Linked DNA regions of Drosophila melanogaster. The protein of the gene in region 1 purifies or fractionates together with the protein of each later gene. This does not show direct contact. Each region holds a gene or a part of one and is shown on either strand. Other genes may lie near its edges.

Region 1 (5,394 bases):
TGACCATTTTCAATCAATCTAAAACTCACAATAAAATCTTTGGAGCATTTGTTTGTACATCAAACGTCACGGATCCGAATAGTTTCCAATTAAAAAAAACCAACTGAGCAAATTAGGGTATAAAAAATAGTTAATGTTGAAGCGAAAAACTTGTTTTTGCAGTTTGGCAAACTTTTTCTTAGACAAAACACAGATAAGATTCAGAAAATAAGAAACAAACCTATGTAATATCTTAAAAGTTCAAGTATTATTAAAAAAAAATACAAAAATATTTCTAAATAGTATATTTCAGTAGTAAAAAAATGTTTTAACATGTAAGCACATTTAAAAAAATTAAGTAAATGCGACACTATATCCCTATAGCCGACATAGAAAGTGGAAATTGTTAATTCCGAACACTTTAGGAAATATGTACATAAACAAAAAAGGATTCACCATTTAATAATATTTACAAGACATTAATTCAACAATTATCTACCGAAAGCCTCTTACTAAATAAAAAGGGTTAAAACTACACTAATGCGTAATTATTTGTCTGACCTCTTTTCATTTAAAAGTTGAGTTGTTTACAACTTTAAATGCCTCATTAAATTTGCCTTAGTGTTTTACTTCTCATCTAGACACCAAAAAACTAATTAGTCGTTAACTATCACTTGATTAAACGCTAATGAACCCAAGGTAAGTACCGATTTAATTTATATAATTATATTAATAGTAAGTATGTATATTTATTATTCCGCATTGTGTTGGGCAAATACAAATATTATAAATAATTTGATTTACGTTTACAGTTGTATCTTTCGTTTTGTCTTAGCAATCGCCGTTAATTAAATATATAAACTTCGTAAAATACTAAATTGATCATTGAATCGCAGCATTTCGTGTTACCACTGGTTAATGCATGTTGATTGTGTAAATTATATAACCCCATTTCGGCCCTCACGTTTTGTATATTTTGTTAAAGTACTTTTTTTCTAGTGTATGTATAAAGACTAAGCGGATTGCACAACAAAATAGACAAAGCAAATGCGTTGAGAAGGAAACGTAAACATATTAATATATTTAATTATGTATGTGTGTATAGAGAAGCGGAGCAGATACCCATTGCAAAAGGGGGCGTGGCGCAGCGTTGCGAAGCTGGACCTCACTGAAATCGAATCACAATGAAAATTCACACAGTTTGATTTTTGTTCATATATTACACATCATTTTGTCAAAATCCCAATGTATAACTATCGATTTTACACGAAGTAACTAGCAAACTAACTTCAATATACACAAAATACATGCATAAAACATTTAAAAATGTTTCAATAAACTTTATAAAATTTAGAAATCACGCACGACATTCACGTACACAAATGTGGTTTGTTTTGGTTTATTTCTGGTTACTTCTTCCTTTTGGTTTTTTTTGGTAAAATAAAACGTAGCTGAACAAGGAGATGTGTTTCTTGTAACTGTCTGATCTTAATGGTTTTAACATTTAGCTTAGTGTCCAATTGCTAGATTAGTGGTAGCTATGTTTACGTGGTTAGTTACGGTTGAGATAGAAAACAAGAAATCTGTTCCTTCAACTACCTTCTATTAGTTAGTCACTAAAGTAGCTTTTACAGAAGCGGCTGCGCCTATCCCAGAATTGCAATCGGGCATCTGCGGTTTACTCCTAGCAGCAGCCACTGTTTGCTGCTCCAGCTGCTCCTCCGGCTCCTGGGAGCGACGGGTTTGTGGGGGAGTGCTGTTGGCCGATCTTAATGCCGTTTGCCTAGTAACGAGATAATAATGTAGTGGCAAGAAGTTTCTAAGTTAAATGTATCCTTCTTACCTCATTGTTGATGTCGAAGACACCTTCCTGGATCTTCTCGTAAATCTCTTTGGCCGTATTTATGAACGCCTCCTCTACGTTGGCAGCTGTGCGCGCAGAAGTCTCCATGAAGACCAGTCCGTGCTCGCGGGCGAAGGCCTCGCCCTCCTCTTTCTTCACCTCACGCCGCGAATCCAAATCGCTCTTGTTGCCTATCAGCATAATGACCATGTTCGAGTTCGAGTGCTGACGCGCATCCTCCAGCCAGGTGGTCAGGTGGTTGAAGGTCTCCCGTCGCGTGATGTCGTACACCAGCAAGGCGCCAGCAGCTCCGCGGTAATAAGAGCGTGTGATAGATCTATTCAAGAAATATTTTGCGTCACAATACAGTTATATAAATGACAGTGCTTATATTATTTAATTATTAGTAACCCATTAAATTTCTGTCTGACGACTTCTATTTAATTTTAAGTAAAGTATAAAAAATTTATATCACAAAAAATTAAAAATGATAGAATTAAAACTTTTTTAAATAAACATCTATCAACAATGTGCCGAAATGAAGCAAATAAAATTTTTTGAATACAAATTATTAAGCCTTTTTACTAAAGGCTCTATATATATATATTATTATTATTTTGGATCATTAAGTAAGAATTTTATTCAAATTATTTTATTTAATATAAAAAACGAGCCGAATTATTATCCGCCTTGGACTTGGGGTTTTGGATACGAAATTTGCAAAAATTTATTCAGTTCAATTTTGGAAGTAATCTGAGCTTTCACTTATCCCTTCTTAAGTATTAACACTAAATGAACAGAAGTGGGTACCTGAAAGCCTCCTGCCCAGCCGTGTCCCAGATTTGAAGCTTGATCTGCTTGCCGTCGATGGTGATCATGCGTGCTCCGAACTCCACGCCAATGGTCAGGTCGTGCACCGGCTGGAATCGCTTGTCCGTGAACTGGAGCAGCAGACAGGACTTGCCCACGCCTGCGGAAACGGAAAAGGGTTAGTGGGCGAGCGGGGAAAAGGTGGGACAGGCTGGAAAATGCCAACAGCTGTTGGACATCCCGAAAAGCAGAGTGCTGATAAGCCCGTGGCTCTTTGGGGCGGAATCCCTCAATTACTGGGGGTGGTTGGGTGAGTCAGCAGCAGGGTTTATGTGTGGGCTGCTCCCCGCGCACCACTAACTCTGAGAGCAGCAAACGCCTGTATGCGTTGTTATGGTATTATTGATTTTTCCTTCGGCCCACCGACTCCAGGAATATTTTCCTGCCGACGCAATTTTGATCTCACGGTATCAATTTTTCACTTGAGACCACCTGAAACCCCCATTTTTTGATTTTCGGGTACGACCCCTACGCCTGCGATGCCCTTTGTTTTGTTGTGTTGTTTGCAATTACAGATTGTTTCCCTGACAATGGCCAACTTTTCACTGGCCATTCCGTTTCAAAGGAAGTCGCAGCTTGCACTCACCTGTGTCTCCGATAATGATGTATTTGAACAAGTACGCGTAGGACATGTTTTAAGCTGACGGGGGTTACGGTAAGCTAGTTTTTAGAAAGTACGATCTCGTAATGCCACAGATAATACGCAATTCTTGTACGTTTTCCAATCTGTTCGTATTTATGATGACTGGCTAGCGACAGTGTGGCCACTTTGTGGCCAGGGCTGGCGGAAATACCGAAATACCGCAAGGCTGCAATCGCCCTATCGATAACGATGCGCACTGCCGCTGGCCAATCGATAGGTATATGTATGTATGTAGAATTTGTCAGAAATTTTCTCGCACAAAGCAAAGTGTTTTGGAGGATAAACGCCAATTAATTGTCAAGCGATGTGCCAGCTCCTGTAGAATACACTCAGCATACTACGGTGCAGGGATCCCACATCCGGAGACTCCCGCGGGGCAGGGACCAGGCTAGCATTCAGTTTCTGCCAGTGATTTTCTCATCAAGGCGTAGGCACAGACGTTGTGGATCATCGCGTCTTCGAGCGGGTGAAACATGAAGATGGCTGACGGCTCGACCATATTGCGTAGGAACCGGCCAGGCACAAAATCCAAGGTGAGCGATGACATGGCGTCCGAACAACGATCCCGGCCCGGCCCGTCTGACCCGTTTTCCGTTTCGCCTTTCAGGACTTCTGTCGCTGGCCCGACGAGCCCCTGGAGGAGATGGACAGCACGCTGGCGGTGCAGCAGTACATACAGCAGCTGATTAAGCGCGACCCGAGCAACGTGGAACTCATACTGACCATGCCCGAAGCCCAGGATGAGGGCGTGTGGAAGTACGAGCACCTGCGCCAGTTCTGCATGGAGCTGAACGGCCTGGCAGTGCGGCTGCAGAAGGAGTGCTCGCCGTCGACGTGCACCCAGATGACAGCCACTGACCAGTGGATATTCCTGTGCGCCGCGCACAAGACGCCCAAGGAATGTCCGGCCATTGACTACACACGCCACACGCTGGACGGTGCCGCCTGTCTGCTAAACAGCAACAAGTACTTCCCTAGCAGGTATGCAGGCTTAGCGACATGGTTGAACTAGCCACATAATAAGCAAAGTGTCTCTCCCAGGGTGTCCATCAAGGAGTCGTCGGTAACCAAGCTGGGCTCCGTATGTCGGCGGGTGTATCGCATCTTCTCGCACGCCTACTTTCACCATCGTCGCATTTTCGACGAATTCGAGGCCGAGACGTATCTGTGCCACCGTTTCACGCATTTCGTCACAAAATATAATCTGATGTCGAAGGAGAATCTGATCGTGCCCATCAACGTGGGTGAAAACGCGGCCCCTGGCGAAAGCGAGGCTTAGGAGCCCGCCCAGATTAGTCAGACTCGCATGAAACACTCATTCAACATACATCTATTTATATTTACCAATAGCTTGCAAGTTGGGTTGGCTCACCCTGACAGGGAAACGATTCCACGCGGACCCGACTCTAATGCAGATCTTGTATGTAGTTTAGATGTCAGATACACATAGAGCTACATAACGATAACTAAGTAACAAGGGCAGACCCCCTCAAACCCGCTCGCCCCATCTGATCCTAAGTCAGCAATTATTTCGCAAGTTATATTACGATTATGTTTAACTCCTTATTTTAATAAATTATATGTAGGCACACGACCTTCTCGTGGCTGATTCCACGTCAAATCCCCGTAAACTAAACTAAATTCCCTTGACTACTGGCAGCCAAAACACCAACACAGCTGTACGTGACTAAAACGTGAACTTTACTATACAAAATTACTATATACACAACAGAAATTGCAATAAAAGAAGTACATACATAAACACACCAAGGGCAAGTACGATCCTCCTGTGATAAATTTGTCAAACGATATTCACTTCGTGCATAGGCTGTTGGTTTACAAGGCGTTCGAAGCCGAGGCGCGACAGATCCAGTGTGGTAAACTTGCCGTCCAAGATTAGTTCGGAAATGGCTCGACCCACGGCGGGAGTCTGCTGAATGCCGTGCCCACTGAAGCCTGCGGCAATGAAGAGATTGCTGTAGTGAGGATGCCTGCCGATGACGCCGTTTGCGTCAAATGTGTTGTGGTCATAGAAGCCCGCCCAGCTGCTCTGTATCTT
Region 2 (5,189 bases), on another chromosome or scaffold:
ATTGTTGTCCTCCGCGCTTGTAAAACATATATAACAAAGTGTACTCGGTGCAATATGAGTGTTTTAGTTTTAGATATTCTAGAATGTGTGTATAAATCCTTTGTAATTCACCCAAAACGAATAATCCATAACGAATCGAAACTGTTTTTGCGAGCTTGCATAATTTGAAATCATTGTTTTACTAGTCATCGTATTATTTACACTAAAATGAAGTCTATATATATATAAAAATATATAAATAAAAACTATTTAATTACACCAAACTGTGTGTTAGTTCTTCTCGAGCTTCAGGTCGCCGAGCTTCTCGTTCAGCGCACTTTCTTCATCCTCCTCAGCTTTGAACATCTCCTGAAATTCGGAAAATCAGATTGCTTGAGTTTTCTGGGGAGTTCTAGGTGTATTTCTGAATGAGTCACTTACCGGATCGTATATGACCTTGATGACTAGGGAGCAGCTGGGACAGGTGGCCACCTCCTCGCCCTCGATTAGCTCCTCCTAAAGTGGAAATTTACCAAGTGATATGGGGAGTCCAGAAAAAAAAAGGTTGCGTATACGACTCGTTACCTTGGAGATCTGAAATCGATCGCCGCATGGACAGGGATAGTAGTACATCTCCTCCTCCTCGTCGTACTCGAAGTCCTCGATCTCCACCTCGTCGTGATAGATGCTCATGACGTACCTTCAGCTTAATTCAGCGCCTAAAGGTCATATTATATTTGAGTTTTTTTTGCGATAACTTAGATTAATCCACGCCAAACAAATGGGCACGTTGTGTTGCGGGGCTGCCAACTCGTTGCAGCGAACAGCTGATCCAGTAAACAATTGCAAATGTTTTATTTGGACATTTTTGGACCGCCGGCTGCAGTTGTGAAATAAGTCTCGTATAAAATAGTATATTTTAGCTAACTTTTGCCCAAAAAAGACAAACTGCAAAACAAACCCATGTTCCAGTTGTTGAATAAGGAGTAAAATAAGACTAAATGGCTAGCAAAAAGTACAGTGACGTGAATCTTTACGATCTTCTGGGCATTTCTCTCGAGTCTGATCAAAATGAGATACGCAAGGCGTACCGCAAGAAGGCCCTCGAGTGCCATCCCGACAAGAATCCGGACAATCCGAAGGCAGTCGAGCGCTTCCATGAGTTGTCCAAGGCTCTGGAGATCCTCACGGATGAATCCGCGCGCGCAGCTTATGACAAAGTGCTGAAGGCCAAGAAGGCGGCGGAGCTGAGGAGTCGCCAACTGGACGGGAAGCGGCAGAAGCTGAAGCTGGAACTGGAGGAACGTGAACGGGCGGCACTGCACAAACTGGCGAAGAGCCAACCCTACAGCACGGTGGCCAAAAGCGACGAGGAGGTGCTGCATGAGCAGATCGAGCGGTTGCGACGCGAGGGCTCCCGTCTGCTGGAGGAGGAGCAGCGAGCCATGCAGGAGCAGTTCCGGCGGAATCACGCGGAGCAACAGAAACTGCAGCAACAGCCGGTCCAGTTTGATTCCGCCCAGCATCGCATCAAGATGAAGTGGAAGGCCGAACCTGGCCAGGATTACACACAGCAAGAGCTGCTCAAGTATCTGAAGAAGTACGGCGACGTGGTGGCCCTGGTGGTCAACAGCAAGCGACGCGGACGCGCCATGGTGGAGCTGGCCACGCGCGAAGCCTGCGACATGGTCTTGGCCTACGAAAAAGGCGATCCCGCCAAGCCGCTGCACTTCGAGTGGGTAACGCCGCCGGCGGCAGACAAGCAGACAACCAAATCGGCCACCACTGGGTGCAGTGCGTCATCCACCGACTACGAGGACCTGGTCATGCGAAAGCTGCGCCAAGCTGAGGAACGTAAGAGACTCATTGAGCAGATGATGAAGGACGAGGAGGGCGAATGAAATAAGATTTAGTTAGGCTCAACATTTAATTTACTTTAATTGGACTAATATTAATGTTTGAAAATATCTCAATTTAGCAACTATGCAGCTGATTTATAATACATTTACATTTAAAATAGTTTTTAATTTATGTAAATTTGGTTATTAATTATTTTTTGAAAAACCGCAAAAATAAAAAAAAGTTTAAATCAGAATGATGGCAATTTTTAGTGCCTGAGCAAACATGACAAGTTGGCAGGCCCGCGTGCCAGCTGCTGAAATTTGTTAATTAAAAGAAATGCAAAAATGACACGGGAGATAAATAAATTGAACTACTAAGCGAACTGAAAGTAAATGAACTAATTCCCTTTCAAGGCGAAATGGAGAAGCGACAGAGGGAGCTGGAGGCGCTGGTGTCCACCCAAAAGGAGCAACTGGGGCGCTATGAAAAGCGTCTAAAAGGTGAGACATAGATGAATTCGCAATGCAAATGGATTAATGAGCCCAATTTGTAGACGTGGTCACTGCCTACAAGGGTCTGCTTAAGGAGAAGGAGGCATTGGAGACGAGTCTGGCGGCGCATGCGGAGGCCACGGCGGTGGGCGAGTCCGGATCGCCGGCCAGGGAGTTGGAGTCCAAAAAAACCAGCACCGACTCTGCGGATGGAGCAACCGAGGGCGCTGCACCGGGTCCGCCTGCTCCCCCGGCCGAGGGTCAACTGCAGACCCAAATTATCACCCTGATGAACTCGCTGGCCACTCTTTCCGCTGAGAAATCCCGCATGGAGGCCTCCTTTCAGGCGGATAAAAAGCAACTGCGCAGCCAAATCGCCCAAAAGGAGCAGACCATTCAGGAGCTTAATACCCGGGCCAAGGAGCAGGCTGCTCGGGCCAAAAGCGACGTGGACGAGATCAAGGCCAAGTGGATCGTGGAGCGACAGGAGCGCGAGAAAGAGACCAACAACCAAATGCTCATGATCCGCGAACTGCAGAAACTCTATGCGGACGAGCGGCATCTAAAGGACAACATTGAGATGCAGTTAAACAACTTCAAGACCCAGTTCGCCAGCAACGAGGCAGAGAATAGCCGGCTACGGGAATTGCAATCCCAGCTAAAGGAGGCTCGCTCCCAGCTGAAACAGTTCCAGGCCAAGACCGAGCACTCTGCAGCAGCGTCAGCGAGTGCGGACAGCGCCGCTCTCCTTCAGCAAGTGCGCCTTGAGATGCAGCAACTGAAGGAGCAGCATGCAGTGGCCATTCGTCAGGAACAGCGTCGCGTGCTGCGTGCCGAGGAACAGAGTCGCAGGCAGGCGGCGCTGCACGAGGATCGCGTGGCCAGTCTAGAGGCACGCCTGGCGGAGCTCAGCACCACTGTCGGCAGCTACGACCGCCTGCGTCAGCAAGATCAGGACAGCATCCATGATTTGAAGCAGCAGCTGCAGGATCTAGAGCAGGCACATGTGCGTCCAACATCCAATTCAAGGGCGCTAAACGAAGATGTGGACGTAGCCACGCTGGTTGACGAGATGGTGCGCTTGAAGAAACTGCTTACCACAGCCAATGCCCGTTCTGCCAATCCACTGGATCTCGGGGAGATCCTATCATTTAGCGGCCAAACAGCTACCCGAGTCGAGAGTCACGCCCACTGCGAGCAACAGCTTCAGGGTGTGCAGCAAATGCTCGAGGCATCCAAGCAGCAGCGACAGCTACTCGAACAGAAGGTGCAGCTGCAGCACTCGCACATCCAAACGCTGCAGGAGAAGGTGCAGGTGCTCAATCGCAACATCGACGAGGCGGAAGTCGAACTAAAGCAGCAGGGCGAAAAGCTGCGCCTGGCATTGAAGAACGAACGAACCAAGTGGCAGGAAGCCAAGGCTGAACTGGAGAACGAGACGCGCTGCAAACTGAACGAGCTGGAACAGCTACTGCAGAAGCAGCGCCAGAGGTCACTGCAGCTGCTGGATGAGAAGGAGCAGGAGATTAAGACACTGCAGACCTCCTTCGAGGTCTTTCACTCGGCCAGCGGTGTGGGCAGCACACTGGCCACACCCACACTTGAAGCAGCTGCCGATTCCTTTCACTATTCCTCCGACACCGACAGCGTGGAGGGGGAGCAGCGGGAAAGAAAGCTAAAGGTGCGCTCCAAGAAAATGTCGATGGGCGAGAACTGCCACATGCTGCACTATGCCAACGAGTTGGCGCGCAAGGACATCGAAATCACGACACTGCGGAAAGCCAAATACGCCGCCGAGTCGACGCTGCGAAAGGCGATCCAGGACAAGGTGACATCTCAGCAGGAAATGCACGAGAAGATCGAGTGCCTCAAGGAGCAGGTGGACAGGTGCGTCGTTGTCGTTGTTATCGTTGTTGTCTTAGAAAGTCATGCCACGATCTCTACTCCCATTCTAGACTCGAACGTTGCAAGACGCGCGAGGGTGCCAATCTGGAGTACCTGAAGAACGTTATTATCAGCTACATTGTTACCCGGGACGCGGACGGCAAGCGTCACATGCTGAACGCCATCTCGGCGGTGCTCCAGTTCACCGCCGCAGAGATGCAGGCGATCAATGCATCATTCCAGAAGAAATAACATTCGTACTTTTGTTCAACAATCATGTGCAACATATTTAAAACCCTACAAACAGATCCTAAATAGATAACTAACTAAATCCGACGACTGGGTATTTGTCTAGGTGGGCAGCTAGCACGCCGGGAAACATGGCCAGGAACTTAAAGCGAGTGCCCATCTGGGCTGGATCCGTGAGCATCTCGTAGCCGGAGCGAATGATCTCCTGGTTTTCGGGCAGCGCATGTGCCAACAGTTGCTCCAGTCGAGCCTCACCCTGCATTCGCTGCAGGAACAGTCCCTGCTCCACGGGACCGCAGCAGTGGACATTTCCGCGTGTCTCGGCAATGTGCCGCACTAGCTTGAAGTCCACATCGGCCGTGAGATCAGCACTGCCCGGCTCCACCAGCGGATCGTGCAGCTTGTGCTGCTTGAAGGCCCGGAAAGTGTCGGTTTTCTCGCCAAAATGGCCATAATCCATGATTAGAGCGATGCCGCCATCCCGTTCGATGCGCTCGGCGAGCAGTCCCACCTGTCGTTCCGTCTCCAGGGAGTGCTCCAAACAGGATCGTGTCTCGCCGGGCAGCGGTCGATAAAGACTCGAAACGGGTGTTTGGCTACGTGAGAGCACATATCGGAAGCTAGCTTCTTGTGCGCCATCAGAGGATGCCACATCGATGAGCACCTCCTGCCACTTGCCATCTACGAGTTGGAGCTTGTGCACAGGCAGGGCGTCGAAGAACTCGTGGGCGAGAACTAGGGAGA

The links.
Region 2: the proteins of Rab2 (region 1) and GCC88 purify together in Drosophila melanogaster (affinity purification with western blotting, with the first as the bait; one study listed by BioGRID). This does not show direct contact.

The regions. Positions count from the first base shown.
Region 1 is NT_033778.4:6,694,814-6,700,207, reverse strand, and holds Rab2 (Rab2), read right to left. Parts: upstream 3,470-5,394; 5' UTR 3,325-3,469; coding exon 3,279-3,324; intron 2,793-3,278; coding exon 2,633-2,792; intron 2,160-2,632; coding exon 1,823-2,159; intron 1,763-1,822; coding exon 1,664-1,762; 3' UTR 739-1,663; downstream 1-738. Other genes in the region: Mob4 (MOB kinase activator 4), read left to right, coding at 3,809-3,868, 3,943-4,316, 4,365-4,614; CG3270 (uncharacterized protein), read right to left, coding at 5,137-5,394. UniProt on the Drosophila melanogaster protein: May be involved in bidirectional endoplasmic reticulum (ER) to Golgi trafficking. Together with Rab7 involved in promoting fusion of autophagosomes and endosomes with lysosomes, probably through recruitment of the HOPS tethering complex.
Region 2 is NT_033777.3:11,227,500-11,232,688, reverse strand, and holds GCC88 (GRIP and coiled-coil domain containing 88 kDa), read left to right. Parts: upstream 1-2,088; 5' UTR 2,089-2,239; coding exon 2,240-2,321; intron 2,322-2,374; coding exon 2,375-4,199; intron 4,200-4,267; coding exon 4,268-4,448; 3' UTR 4,449-4,518; downstream 4,519-5,189. Other genes in the region: Dph3 (diphthamide biosynthesis 3), read right to left, coding at 271-348, 421-495, 565-672; CG17187 (uncharacterized protein), read left to right, coding at 981-1,880; CG17726 (uncharacterized protein), read right to left, coding at 4,519-5,189.